Saccharomyces cerevisiae S288C: one gene and its partners. Changing the gene in region 3 together with the main gene of any one other region gives a genetic interaction. Each region holds a gene or a part of one and is shown on either strand. Other genes may lie near its edges.

What was found.
Region 1: mutations in HOT13 (region 3) and YOL024W together harm fitness more than expected from each alone (negative genetic interaction), as found in Saccharomyces cerevisiae (one large-scale study listed by BioGRID).
Region 2: mutations in HOT13 (region 3) and ENV7 together harm fitness more than expected from each alone (negative genetic interaction), as found in Saccharomyces cerevisiae (one large-scale study listed by BioGRID).

The regions. Positions count from the first base shown.
Region 1 is NC_001147.6:275,069-278,104, reverse strand, and holds YOL024W (uncharacterized protein), read right to left. Parts: upstream 1,020-3,036; coding exon 501-1,019; downstream 1-500. Other genes in the region: IFM1 (translation initiation factor 2), read right to left, coding at 1-49; LAG2 (Lag2p), read right to left, coding at 1,166-3,036.
Region 2 is NC_001148.4:101,108-104,852, forward strand, and holds ENV7 (putative serine/threonine protein kinase ENV7), read right to left. Parts: upstream 1,596-3,745; coding exon 501-1,595; downstream 1-500. Other genes in the region: SUI3 (translation initiation factor eIF2 subunit beta), read left to right, coding at 1-246; RVB2 (RuvB family ATP-dependent DNA helicase reptin), read left to right, coding at 2,125-3,540. UniProt on the Saccharomyces cerevisiae protein: Serine/threonine-protein kinase involved in vacuolar processing and morphology.
Region 3 is NC_001143.9:275,470-283,591, forward strand, and holds HOT13 (Hot13p), read left to right. Parts: upstream 1-5,039; coding exon 5,040-5,390; downstream 5,391-8,122. Other genes in the region: phosphopantothenoylcysteine decarboxylase complex subunit CAB3, read left to right, coding at 1-1,529; cytochrome c1 heme lyase CYT2, read right to left, coding at 1,720-2,394; SRX1 (sulfiredoxin), read left to right, coding at 2,812-3,195; malate dehydrogenase MDH1, read left to right, coding at 3,654-4,658; ribosome biosynthesis protein RRP14, read right to left, coding at 5,556-6,860; TEF4 (translation elongation factor EF1B gamma), read left to right, coding at 7,422-7,626, 7,953-8,122. UniProt on the Saccharomyces cerevisiae protein: Required for the assembly or recycling of the small Tim proteins in the mitochondrial intermembrane, thereby participating in the import and insertion of multi-pass transmembrane proteins into the mitochondrial inner membrane.

The DNA of each region.
Region 1 (3,036 bases), on a different chromosome or scaffold from region 3:
TTAGACGGGGACATGTCTTTAACCAGAATAATCCGTGTCTTCTGAGCATGATCTATTAGTATGCATATGGAAGTTCCTCCTATGCTAGAAAAGCGTGTGTAACATCAAATAAGAGACAATGAGGGAGATGAACATGATTATTGTAGCTCGTTATTGATGTTCCCTGGTTATAATAATAAAGAAGTTCGGGTAACGAATAACAAAAAATGACTGTATATATATATATATGATATTAAGAGTGTTTGAGTATTATGAGAATATTATCCCGACATTTTGTTGCTCAAAAATAGGGAAATTACTAGGAACCAATAAGAAGATGTTTGATAAATCATCAGCCTATCCTTCTCGTTGTAACCGTTCTTGACACTGTGGTTGTTTATCTTTTGTTATTAAAGCTCTACTTTTGAAATCCAAATCGTGTTTCCTTATGCTAAGGTGGAAAAAAATAATAATAAATAAAATGGCCAACAATAAACAATAGCCTCTCTTTTCGTAAGTAATTAACTAAACATATCTAGTTGTTGATAAATAAATTTTTTATAATCCTCATACAGAAATAGGCTTGATTTTTGTGGAAAGGAAGATGACTGTAGCTCTGCTTTTACTGTAAGTAGGGGTTCATCCAAAGCTGCTGTCTGAACTACTAAATTTGTTTTACTTGCATGCAATTTTTCAAATAAATCTCTTGGCTGTGGAGGCATAGTTTCGAGCAAGACACGGTCCCCCATGTCTATCACCTTACAGGTGTCATAAATATTTATTTGATCCTTTTCCTGCAAAAAAAATGTTGACATATTGTGCCTCAACTCTTGCAGTGTCATTTTAGACAACACAACAGGAAGCTTTTTCCTAGAATAATTTAAAGCCTCACAATAATGCGTCGATCTTCGAGAGTTTGGAAAACGTCTTTTGAGTAAATTAGGGACGGCACAAAGATCATCGAAAAACTCTTTAGATTTTGGCGGTTCTTCCATATTTATAAAATCGGCGGCATGAGGATAAGACGATAGTTTTGACATCCTGTGTGAGGGTGCTATGTATATTTAGTTTTCTTCTCCCTGCCTGAGAGGATAGATTATTGTGTATTAATACGGGCAAAAACATGTTGATGACACAAACTATAAGGAAAAAAAAAAGATGCATGATGTATTTGGTATAAAACTATCTAGTCATGAGGGAGATAAGGAGGAAATTGTAGCAAGAGGTTGGTATTTATGTCTTTTTTAATACAAGTTTCTTGCAAAACTTGATAGAAGTCATCTTTATACCATTCCCAATCGATACCAATTAGGTAATTATAGTATGTGCGTAGAATTTGGTCCAGCAATTGGAAGGACAGATCTCTCACCCCAAGATCCTTATCCCTTACAGAATATCGCGCAATAGTGGGTAAAATCTCACCTAGCATAGAGTAATCCAGTGGGAATAGTTGTAGTAGTAGAGAAAGAATCATTGTTCTTAAGGTCACTCCTTCATCAATTTTTTGGGTAAAATTTCCTGCTTTTAATGTATCAATAAAAGATTTATTTGTTTTTAGATGGGGTAATATCAACTTAATCAATTGAAATTGCTCGCCACGAGTGATGTTATTTGAATGATTTTTAACCAGCAGATGATCAATAACCTCTATTGATAGCTGTAGAACAGACAATTCGGAACCGGATTGCAACGACAAAGTATGCGCTAACGTACAAAAAATAACGTTTTTTCTAATTGGTTTATTGCCTTTCACTTCATTTAGAATTTCGTTCAAATCTGCGATTTCCCCATTGTGAGTGGGTAATTCTGTTGTCTCTTTTGAAAGAATTTTATCAATTAAGGATGTGTTTATAGCGATCTTAGTCTGCAACTCAACCAACAGTTCAGAGAAGCGCTCCTCCTGAGGATAATGTAACTCAGAAAAGATTAAAAGGATTTTGTTCGTTTCTGTAATGTCTTTGGTGGCTTCATCATTTTTTTCAACGTTTATATCATCTGCGTCTTCGTCATCCGTATCACCGTCATACATGTTTTCGTCATAACCTTCTGATACGAGTTCATCGAGGTACGCTTGTTGTTCAGGATCGTTGTCTGAGCCAAATCCGTCGTCACTGTCGATCAGATTGTCGCTACCATGGTCGTTTTCATTTTGCGTCCTTGTCAGCGAGTCGTTTAATATGCTGAGCATACCAAACAAACCCTCTCTTAGCTGGCTAATAGTCGAATCTGACAATAGAGGCCTATTATCCTTTAGCCTACGAATAGAAAAATATGGATGGAAGTTATGAACTATTTCGAGAACATCTTCGACGTTACATTCTTCTCCCATTTGCGGGGGGAATAGAACCGGTAATAGCCGGTTAGTAAATAATTTATCGACTATGGGGCCAAATTTGTACCATATTCGAGAAACTGCTGCTAAAGTATTGTACTTCATTTTGGGGCATAAATTTTCCAGGTCCACCGGATGAGTTAATTGCGTAGAAGTCAAAAGTAATTTTTCTGTGATCCTATCAATGCTTTCATTTGTATTCGTAGCAGAATAGTCCTGCGCAATTGTAAAAACGTCATTCAAAATATCAAAGGGCAGTGTGACCATTACTGAAGGACTTGCCGCGTCTGAAAAGAAGCTAAATTTTAGCAATAGATTAAGGGATTCTATGTAAATTAGCATATTGCTTTCAGAAAGTGAATGTGAAAGCTGCGCAGCATCCACATCACACATATGCCTTTTCATTTCAACAATAAATTTGGAGATAAACTCTAATGAACTGTTTACTGGTTGGTGGTAATCTAAATGAGGGGAGTTTTCAATTTTTTGTAACACATTTCTTAGTGTCTCAATCAGAACAAAAGAACGATTTGCATGTATCATGCTTTGGTTTAATAAAGGGTCGCATATCAAGCTTATTACCCATCCCAACTGAGCAGCTGCAGGGTCGCTGATCATAGAAAGAACTAAATCGGGGAGCACTTGAAACGATACTAGGTTGAGAATTTCCATGTCTTGTTCTTCGACCAATACCGGGAGCAGCAATTCGTTAACAAGAGGAGCCA
Region 2 (3,745 bases), on a different chromosome or scaffold from region 3:
GTTGACGGTCAGAAAAGATTAGTCATTAAGGGTAAGTTTCAATCCAAACAAATGGAGAATGTCTTAAGAAGATACATTTTGGAGTATGTCACTTGTAAAACTTGTAAGAGTATTAACACCGAATTGAAGAGAGAACAGTCAAACAGACTGTTCTTTATGGTCTGTAAAAGTTGTGGTTCTACCAGATCCGTCTCTTCTATTAAAACCGGTTTCCAAGCTACCGTTGGTAAGAGAAGGAGAATGTGATGTTGGTGCTTTACCTGTTAGCATATATATAATAAATACGGATTTCGTTTATCTTGTGTATTTTATTCGTTTCATTAGATATTTAATGTTTAAATGAAGAAAAACTTAAAGTAAAAATTTTCATTCACAAAATAAATCTAAACAGCGGTAGGTAATCTTCATTGATCAGAGTGAACACATTGCATGGAGCCAGCCAATCATCGTGTCCTGTTTACTTCCCAAGGACAGGAAAAAGCTTTGAGAAGCAAAACCGATCAAGTGTCTAAATCTTGTAAAAGATTTAATAATTGGCTGGTAGTAGGCCTTTGTATAGGATCCACTTGAATGCATTTCTTGATTACACTCAAAAGCCCCTCAGAAAATCTGGAATTTCTCGGGAAACTGTACTTACCAGTGTTTATAGCGTAGGTTAAAGAAGCTCCATGTATCTGCTCTTCTCGCTCAAAGGGGGAGATACCGAACATTAAAGTATAGAACGTACAACCCAAAGACCAAATATCAACCTTAGAGCTCAAAACCTGATTTAATTTCAAGTTCAGAAGTTCTGGTGGAGTATATGGCAACGTACAATTGTCATTGACCCATTCTTGTAGTTCGCTGAGTTGATGTCTGTTTTCAATTGTTATATCAGCTTGAGAGCAGGAGCCGAGGTCACCAATTACTGGTAAACCGTCTGAAGAGAACAAAATGTTTGAAGGTGTAATATCGCGATGTGCATATGCTATTGAACCTGCTGAGTTGGAGGAAAGCATGTCCATCTCTAAGGGGGTGTCTTCTAGGAGCATCGCCGTTTCATCGCTATAAGTCATAGAAACCGCATCGACATTTACTCTGGAAGTAGCGTTATCTTGTCTTGACGCAGGATCATGTAAACAAAGTAAACCTCTTGTAACTCCAAGCATTATCCTTACGCATTCTGCCTCTGATACAAAGGTGCCCTCGAGTAACCTCCGATTAATAGAGTCTTGTAAACTCCCTAATGAATAATAGGGTAGTACTATGTAAATTGTTTTTGACCCATCTTTTTCCTGCATTACTTGTGAGTCGATACTTTTTATAACATAAGGACTTTGAAACCGTTTGTAATTTTCAATTTCTCGCATACCATTGGATATACTTTCCACACTAGGACAAATAATCTTCTTTAGTGCGTATAATTCTGGTGTTGCGATGCCGTTGTCTATAATCAGAGAATTCTTTGACAGTTGTACCAAATACACAAAGGACATTCCACCTTCTCCAAGTAGTCGTTGAATCCTATATCGTTTATCATTTACCCTAATAGTAGCATCGGAAAATCCGCGACAGCAGCACAAGTTCTGGAACAATTCCAATACAATAGAAATCATTGATCGGATAAGATGGTACAATCGTTATTTTATCCCTAGTCAGTCGCTGAGATTACAGGCTCTTTTTGTCTACTCTCTGTTTCGTCTTTTTGGAGAAAGTATGGTTCAACATCTTACAAAACCAGATACCGAAAATGTCCCTAACTCGGTGTCATAAGACAGGACTTATCAAAACAGAAAGGATCTTGCAAAAAAGAAAAAGAGCAAATTATGTAAACTTTGGGGGTCAACACAGTTGTATCAGTCGTATTGGTTAGACCCAATATAGCGGTTTTCTTTACTTCTTTGTTTCTACACTTATTAAAGTCTATTTAACTCCCTTTCACGTGATCAGTTTGAAAGAAACGTGAAAATTATTTTTTTCAGCGAACTTTTTGAAGGTTTTCAATAGAAGATGAAAGCTAAATGAAGACTGTACATTCACACGGGAAACGAGAGAAAGAAGTTCAGTTAGTTGAAGCCAGCAATACTACTTTCTCTAGCAGTCTAGCACAAGTTACTTTGAAAGGAAATAAAAAAAATTGTCAGCATGTCGATTCAAACTAGTGATCCAAATGAAACATCAGATTTAAAGTCGTTATCTTTAATTGCTGCCCACTCCCATATTACAGGTTTAGGTCTAGATGAAAACTTGCAACCACGTCCCACATCCGAAGGTATGGTTGGGCAATTGCAAGCCCGTCGTGCTGCTGGTGTGATATTGAAAATGGTTCAAAATGGCACCATAGCAGGTAGGGCTGTTTTGGTAGCGGGCCCCCCTTCAACTGGTAAGACCGCTCTTGCCATGGGTGTTTCCCAGTCTCTGGGTAAAGATGTACCATTCACTGCTATTGCGGGCTCAGAAATCTTTTCTTTAGAATTGAGTAAAACTGAAGCACTAACTCAAGCTTTTAGGAAATCCATCGGTATCAAAATCAAGGAGGAGACAGAATTGATTGAAGGTGAAGTCGTGGAAATTCAAATTGATAGATCTATTACTGGTGGACACAAACAAGGAAAATTGACTATTAAAACTACCGATATGGAAACAATTTATGAATTAGGCAATAAAATGATTGATGGCCTAACTAAAGAAAAGGTATTGGCTGGCGATGTTATTTCTATTGATAAAGCTAGTGGGAAGATTACCAAGCTAGGCAGATCCTTTGCTAGATCTAGGGATTATGATGCCATGGGTGCTGATACCAGATTTGTTCAATGTCCGGAAGGCGAACTGCAAAAAAGGAAAACAGTGGTTCACACGGTGTCACTGCATGAAATTGATGTTATTAATTCAAGAACACAAGGATTTTTGGCATTATTTACTGGTGACACCGGTGAAATTAGGTCAGAGGTAAGAGACCAGATAAACACAAAAGTGGCAGAATGGAAAGAAGAAGGTAAAGCAGAAATTGTTCCTGGTGTATTATTTATCGACGAAGTCCACATGTTGGATATAGAATGTTTTTCCTTTATAAATAGGGCTTTGGAAGATGAGTTTGCCCCAATCGTCATGATGGCTACAAATAGAGGAGTTTCCAAAACCAGAGGGACTAATTACAAATCTCCACATGGGTTACCTCTCGATCTTTTGGATAGGTCAATTATTATTACAACTAAAAGTTATAATGAGCAGGAGATTAAGACAATTTTATCTATAAGAGCACAAGAGGAGGAAGTTGAACTGTCATCCGATGCCTTAGATCTATTGACCAAAACAGGTGTGGAAACTAGTTTGCGTTACAGCAGTAATTTAATCTCTGTTGCTCAGCAAATTGCAATGAAGAGAAAAAACAACACTGTTGAAGTGGAAGATGTCAAAAGGGCTTATTTGCTATTTTTGGACAGCGCTAGATCTGTTAAGTATGTTCAAGAGAACGAGTCACAATATATTGATGATCAGGGCAACGTTCAAATATCCATTGCTAAATCAGCAGACCCTGATGCCATGGATACTACGGAATAAGCATTTTGTACTTTAAGGCAGAAATTGCATCAAATATATATGTATAAATAAAAATTTTATGTTTGCGTGATTGTTGGTGATAAGAAGTAAAAAAGTACACCTAAAATAGGCAGCAGTTGGCCAGCACGTTCAGAACCCCGTATGATATACCTTCTTTCGAATAATTATCGATTATCAAATGTATAGATAGCAGTATTATAATATA
Region 3 (8,122 bases):
CTAATAGGAGGAATATTTACAAAAACGATTATAGCACAAATTTGAGGGATTTCTCTTTTGCCAATCTGAAGCAAAATAGTGAAAGGAACAAAGATGGCCATGAAATACAGATCAACACCAGTATGCCAGCTAATACAAATGGCCAGCAAAAAAGGTTTTCACCTTCATTACCTTCTGCTGTTTCATTTACGGTGCCCGAGGTGGAAAGGTTGCCGTATCATAGATATTCGATATCCAATAAACCTGGAAAGCAGCAGCAGCAGCAGGAACAACTGCAGCAAAATCAACAACAAGAAGAGCAGCAAAAGGCACAACTGCAGGAGCAAAATCAACGAGCAAAACAGCAAGAAGAGGTGAAGCAAATTCAGGAGCAAGTGCAAAAAAAGCAAACTGAAAGACAGCAACTGATAGACGAAAAGGAGAGGATAGCGAATGCAATATTTAAGGAGAACACTACTAATGATGGTACTGATATCAGGAAACATTCGGTATCGAGTGGTACGAGCAATAGCGAAGATGAAGTAGATTCACCTTCGATGGAAAAAAATTCTATCGTTCATATGCCAGGTGATTTTATCTACTTCAATCCCAAGTCAAACGCTTCTAAACCTATCACTGCAAAGGCGGCGCCATTATCGGCTAATAACTCCACACATAAAAACAAGGAAGTTATCACTGCACCCACAGGGCCTCGTGTACCCTTCACAGAGTTCTTTCAGAAGGAAGACGACAAGAAATTCCACATTCTCATTGGTGCGACGGGCTCAGTTGCCACAATAAAAGTACCTCTAATTATTGATAAACTTTTCAAGATATATGGGCCTGAGAAAATCTCTATTCAGTTGATTGTCACAAAACCCGCTGAGCATTTTTTGAAAGGGCTCAAAATGTCAACACACGTTAAAATTTGGAGGGAGGAAGACGCTTGGGTATTCGACGCTGTGAATAAGAATGATACTAGCTTGAGTCTGAACTTGATATTGCACCATGAATTAAGAAAATGGGCTGATATTTTCCTGATTGCGCCTTTGTCAGCTAACACACTTGCTAAACTGGCCAATGGTATATGTAACAATTTGCTAACTTCTGTGATGAGAGATTGGTCACCACTGACCCCAGTGTTGATTGCGCCTGCAATGAATACATTCATGTATATCAATCCTATGACAAAGAAACACCTGACGAGTTTAGTGCAAGACTATCCGTTCATCCAAGTTTTGAAACCGGTGGAAAAGGTATTAATATGCGGAGATATTGGTATGGGTGGTATGAGAGAATGGACAGATATTGTAGAGATCGTTAGGAGGAGAATCAATGAAATACGGAAAGCTAGGGACGAGGAAACTGGTGATAAAGAGCAAGAACAAGAAGAACAAGAGGGTGCTGACAATGAGGACGACGATGATGAGGATGACGAAGAGGATGAGGAGGACGAGGAGGAGGAAGAAGCTCTAAATGAAACAGCATCCGATGAGAGCAATGACGAGGAAGACGAAGAGGATGAGGAAGACGTGAAAACCGAAGTTTAAATGCATTAGAAAAGAGTATTTTGTGTTATGTTTTATGTTTTATTTTTTTTTTTTTTGTTTATTCCTTAAAAGAAGATTACTGCTTTTTCATTCCCTAGTTTCTAAATTGAGTGCCTAAATAAGATTAAATAAATATGTATGTGGAAACTAGGGAGGGTATGTTTTTATTTACAGGAATAGTTGTAGTAATTCAAAAGCCTAAAGATTTCCAGAACCGTAATCTAAAGCCCTCAAAACTGTTTAATTTTGGTCTAACATCGAGATAAATAAGTGGTTGTTGCTGCGAGTTTGCATCGTTCAGATCGGTGGAATAGAAATCGATTACGTAGTCGACGGTTTTACCGCATCTATCTATCTGCCAATCATGTCTATCAAAAGGTTTGGCCAGGTGCAAGATACGGGACCTGAACCAGGCCCTTGGTGTCAGTTTTTTGGAATCACCTTTAAAATTTGTTAATTTGATACCGCCACACGCTTCACCACCCTGCTTGTCTTCCCAGCTTTTAATGTAGTTCCAAACCCGCTCATTGATGGAGTTATGTAAAGGCACAACCACCTTCATGTCATCTGAGTTCGGATCCCAATTTTTTTTCATCATTGCCTCGTAAAATTGTTTCTCCGACGGGTATATCCAGTTTCTGTCAGAATTCGTCCTTGGTATGGTGGAAACCTCTCTGGACTGAGAGAGATCCACCGTGGTGTGATATTCAGGCGTTTTATCGTTATCTTGTGGGTTTGCAGAGCACTCTAGTTGATTGCCTGGGGCAGTAGCACCAGGATGCGCTTCGTTGCCATGTTCTCGTAGCCATAACTTTTTGGTTTCCTCATCTACGGGGCATTTCCCCTGTTGGTCTGAAGACATCATAATATGTAAAATAGAGACGAATGAAAAGCACGTGAACTAACAAACTATTTACTACTACCGAAATGTGATGCTTAAGCCTTTGGCCTCTGCAATACTAGCGATTGCTTTTTCCCTGATTAGTAAGCTACATCATTTATACTACATCTTTCTGTCTTAGAAGGCTTACAAACATCGAAAAGCTGGAACTTTGATTTCGAAAAAAATATGCCGTTACCCGTTGCGGGTCCCTTTTTTTTAGAAGGCCGGCCCAGAAGTCGCCATTATTTTTAGTCATTACAGTAGCCCTGTTGGGTAAGGATGCGATGCAATACATGTCAAGAGGTGTTGTATATAAACCACAATATCTACCATCAATGAGCTATATATACTTTTCTTACTGAAAAAAAAAACTACAAAACCAAGTAAAAAAAGAACAATATGTCACTACAAAGCAACAGTGTAAAACCAACAGAAATTCCTCTCTCAGAGATCAGACGCCCCCTAGCGCCTGTGTTGGATCCTCAAAAGATCGACGCAATGGTGGCCACAATGAAGGGCATTCCCACCGCTAGCAAGACATGCTCTCTAGAACAGGCTGAGGCGGCTGCCTCAGCCGGGGAACTGCCGCCCGTGGACGTGCTGGGCGTGCGAGTCAAGGGACAGACGCTATATTATGCCTTCGGCGGCTGCCACCGTCTACAGGCATACGACCGCCGGGCTCGCGAAACGCAGAACGCCGCCTTCCCCGTGCGCTGCAGGGTGCTACCGGCCACTCCCCGCCAAATCCGCATGTACCTGGGCAGCAGTCTCGACATCGAATAATGATTACGCTAATAACACTACATAAGAAACATAGATAAATTATAATTCACTAATACAAAATCCCTCAATTTAATTAATCAATTTCTTATTCAACAACTAGAGTAGGCACTAGCAGTTTGTGCGACCCTCGGCGCCGGAGAGGTACAAGGGACCTGGCGGTTGGGCCTTCCTGCCAGCTTCTCCCCCCCTTCTCGGCATTCACTCAGCGTTCATTGGCTCAATCACGCGCCAAGCGGATTCCCAGAAAAATACAAAAAAAAGTTGCCATAATACAATGGCGGATATTACAATATATATAGCTTGCGCTTTAAAAAGAAGTGTTAGCACGCATTGGGTGTTTGTACTGTATTCCTCCACTTAAGATAACGAATACACATATAGATATACAATATATTATACGTGGACATCTACGGAAAGGAAGAAAAAAAACAAAAGGAAAAGGAAGGATACCATATACAATGTTGTCAAGAGTAGCTAAACGTGCGTTTTCCTCTACAGTTGCCAACCCTTATAAAGTGACTGTTTTGGGTGCAGGCGGTGGTATTGGACAACCATTGTCTTTGCTTCTAAAGCTTAACCATAAAGTCACGGACTTAAGACTGTACGACCTAAAGGGCGCAAAAGGTGTTGCCACCGATTTGTCTCATATTCCAACAAACTCCGTGGTCAAGGGGTTTACTCCAGAAGAGCCAGACGGATTGAACAACGCTTTAAAGGACACAGACATGGTTTTAATTCCTGCTGGTGTGCCCAGAAAGCCTGGTATGACACGTGATGACTTGTTCGCCATCAACGCAAGCATCGTTCGCGATTTGGCAGCAGCAACCGCCGAATCCGCTCCCAATGCTGCCATTCTGGTCATTTCCAACCCAGTCAATTCTACCGTTCCAATTGTCGCCCAAGTCTTGAAAAACAAGGGTGTTTACAACCCAAAGAAATTGTTCGGTGTGACTACCTTGGACTCTATTAGAGCCGCCAGATTCATCTCAGAAGTCGAGAACACCGATCCAACTCAGGAAAGGGTTAACGTCATCGGTGGACATTCTGGTATTACCATCATCCCATTGATTTCGCAAACAAACCATAAGTTGATGTCTGATGACAAGAGACACGAATTGATTCACAGAATACAGTTTGGTGGTGACGAAGTCGTCAAAGCAAAGAATGGTGCTGGCTCTGCTACGTTGTCAATGGCCCATGCTGGTGCTAAATTCGCTAACGCTGTTTTGTCCGGTTTCAAAGGCGAAAGAGACGTCATCGAGCCTTCCTTCGTGGACTCTCCCTTGTTCAAATCCGAAGGCATCGAATTCTTTGCATCTCCGGTCACTTTGGGCCCAGATGGTATTGAAAAGATCCATCCAATAGGTGAGTTATCTTCAGAAGAAGAAGAAATGCTACAAAAATGTAAAGAAACCTTGAAGAAGAATATCGAAAAGGGTGTCAACTTTGTTGCTAGTAAATAGATTGTTCAAGATCAGAAATAGAGTGAAAAATAGGGAAAAAAAAAAAAAAATTCTACTAATAAGAACGGAAGACTACTCGCCATCATGAGATTACGACATCTTTTTTATTTAATTCTTTGTTATATTTAGCCAATTGAAAGGAAGGAAACTGCCAAAAATCAACTAGAGAAAAATTCATGCTATTCGTTGCTCCTACACCTTTTTTTCTTCCGTAGACGAGGAAAAACAAAAATGATTAAATAGGCGCGCGCGGTGTGATGGTGATGATAATGATGATGATGATGATAATGATGAATAAACGTTTCGGTTTACGAGTTTCTTTAAATATACATATATGATATAAAAAAAAAAATACGTACCACTTACAATTTGCAAATATAGATGATCGAAACTGCCATTTATGGTAAGACAGTGGATGACCAATCTCGATGTGTCCACTGGCATCTTCCAAAGGATGTAATTGCCATCAGGTTTAAATGTTGTGATAAGTACTATGCGTGCTTTGAATGCCACCAAGAGTTAAGTTCTCACCCGCTAGAAAAATATGATCTCCTTGACGATGCAAATAAACACTTGATTATTTGCGGAGTTTGCCGTCATGAAATGACGTTTGCAGAGTATTACGACTACAATTCAAACCTTATTTGTCCCAATTGCAGATCCCCCTTTAATCCAGGCTGTAAATTGCACTACCATTTGTATTTCCAGAACCCTCCCCCCGCTATGTGTTGAGTGTTGTTCTATAAATGCATGCCATCTTAAGCTCTGCTGTGCTCTTCTCGTTAAGGAAAAAATGCGATGGTATATATATAGATATATATATATATATATGTATCTGTATATATATGTTCATACATATATATATATCTATTATTGTTGTTATTATTATCGTGATTATTATTTAGGTCCTCCCTTCTTTTTACCTGTTTTTAATCTACCCTCAAATCCGGCTCTTTTCTTTGGTACGGCACTACCGACATACTTTCTTTTCATCTTTTCTTGCTTATTTCTCTTTTTACCCTTGTTGTCTTTCCTAATCCTCAGATTCTCTTCTCTTCTCTTTTGTCTTTCAGATATCGTGTCTTCCACAACCCTCTTACGTTCGCTCCATTCAATCGCAGACTTTCTCTTTTGTGCTTCCTTTCTCTTTATAGCTTTGCGAAGTAGTTTTTCGTCATCCCTAATCTTAATTCCTTCTGCTTGTAACATAGCCTTTTGCCATTTTTCCTTTTCCTTCTGCTTGATTTGTTCTAGTTCGTCTTTCGCCTCCATCTTATTCTTCTTGGCTTCTAATAACTTTAAGTGTGATTTTACATCATTCTTAGCCGGACCCTTCGTTCTACCAGCTTTTCTTAACCTTTGTAAATCTGAAGTGGCCCTTGCACCATCATCGAATATGATATTTTGAAACATTACACCATCTGCGTTAATTTCTGAGTCCTTCTTGCCTTTTTTGAATCTTTTTTTCGAATTGTTTTCTAAATCACTATCGATGTCTTCCATATCGGAATCAGACGCAATTTCATCCTGATCCTGTTCCTGTTCACTTTCTAGACGCTTTCTTTTTTTCAACTCTTCCTTGCGTTTCCTTTGAGCAAGAATAGCCTCTCTAGAACCGGGTGCTTTCCTTTTACTCTTCATATCTGAAATTTTCGCTTGTAACTTGGAACGTAGTGCTTCCAAGTTTTTCTTTCTTTGTAGTTTCTCTTCCTCTGTAATAGACTTCTTTTCGACAGATCTATCGGGCTCTGTAGTATCTTTTTTAGATTCTAATGGTATTTCATTTCCCTCATCATCAAAGATCACCTTAATATCCTCTTCCTCTTCTTCATCTTCGTCTGGTGCTATTATCATAGGATCGTTTACTTCTACGTTCAGGTCGGAGTCTCCTTCCACTTTTGATGTTGCTTCCTTTTGCTTTTGCATTTTCATGTGCTTGAATTTTTCACCAGGTAGGACCACCGGCTTTGCGTCTTTCTCCTTCTTCTTCATTACTTCTAATGTACTAGATGTTTCATCATCACGTTGCTCCGGGTCTAATTTTTTCAGTTTATCATTTTTACTCTGTTCTTTGGTTTTCTTCTTGGCCTTCCATTGCTCTTGACTTTTTTCATCATAATAGTATTTTGCAGGAATTAAAGCCAATAAACCATCGAAGGCGCTTGAATTAGCACGAAGGCGCTCCTCAAGTGAATTACTCATCTCAGTCTCCTATATCTTTCAATTCCCGGACTTTCTTTATCACTTGCAACAACGTCTCAGTCCTCACTTGTTATTCATCTCTTGGTCATCTCATCTCTTTTATTGTACTTTCCTCTTTTCTTTACCGGAGATGAGAATAAAAAGAATTCATTTTAAAAAATTTTCAATTTGGTGTCTGGGTGAAACTTTTTAATCGTGTAATCCCAATTAAACCACTCTACTTTACTTTAATTGGTACACGAACTCATTACACACCTTTGCCTCTATTGCTTGTGTCAATCGTGTTGAGAGAGGAAGCCCAAAACAAGGGAAATTAACCTCTGTAGGCAAGCCATCACATTTGGCAATAGCAGCCCTCATTTAATTTAATTCGGCATGTGGCCGGCAGGGTAATGCGCTCTGCTGCTGACAAAATTGAAAGAAAAATTTTTTTCATCAACAGTTTGCAATACTTTCTTTTTCATATTTAATTCATCCATTCCGTCGTTAATTTTGTTCAAAACTGGTGTCCATCCTTAATACCAACTCAATTCTTTGATTTTGGCCCTCGATAGATTCAAGATGTCCCAAGGTACTTTATACATTAATAGATCTCCAAGAAACTACGCTTCTGAAGCTTTGATTTCTTACTTTAAACTAGATGTCAAGATCGTTGATCTAGAACAATCTAGCGAGTTTGCTTCTTTGTTCCCATTGAAGCAAGCCCCTGCATTTTTGGGTCCAAAGGGCTTAAAGCTAACTGAAGCTTTGGCTATCCAATTTTATTGTATGTTCCATATTTTATTTTAACACTTCCACATACATTGTTTTGCGCGTTTCCCGTTCGTTTATTTGGCACGTCATTTTTCTTCGAAACATAATGATGAAAAAAAATTTTATCAAACAGTTATCCCTGTCTGAATGGGTAATAATAGGTAACCTCTCATATGTTGATATTTGTATTTCTGATATGTTTCTTAAAGAAAAATGAAAGTCAAAATAACAAAAAGGAAGTACAAAGCGTGTCCTAATCCAGGAAAAAATATAAAGGATTGTTTTACTAACATTTCTTCAATTAATGGTTGTATAACCATCGAGATGATGTATATTTAGTGGCTAATCAAGTTGCCGATGAAAAAGAAAGAGCTCGCTTATTAGGTTCCGACGTTATCGAAAAGTCTCAAATCCTTAGATGGGCATCTCTAGCTAATTCCGATGTCATGAGCAACATTGCTCGTCCATTCCTTTCTTTCAAAGGTTTGATTCCATACAACAAGAAAGAC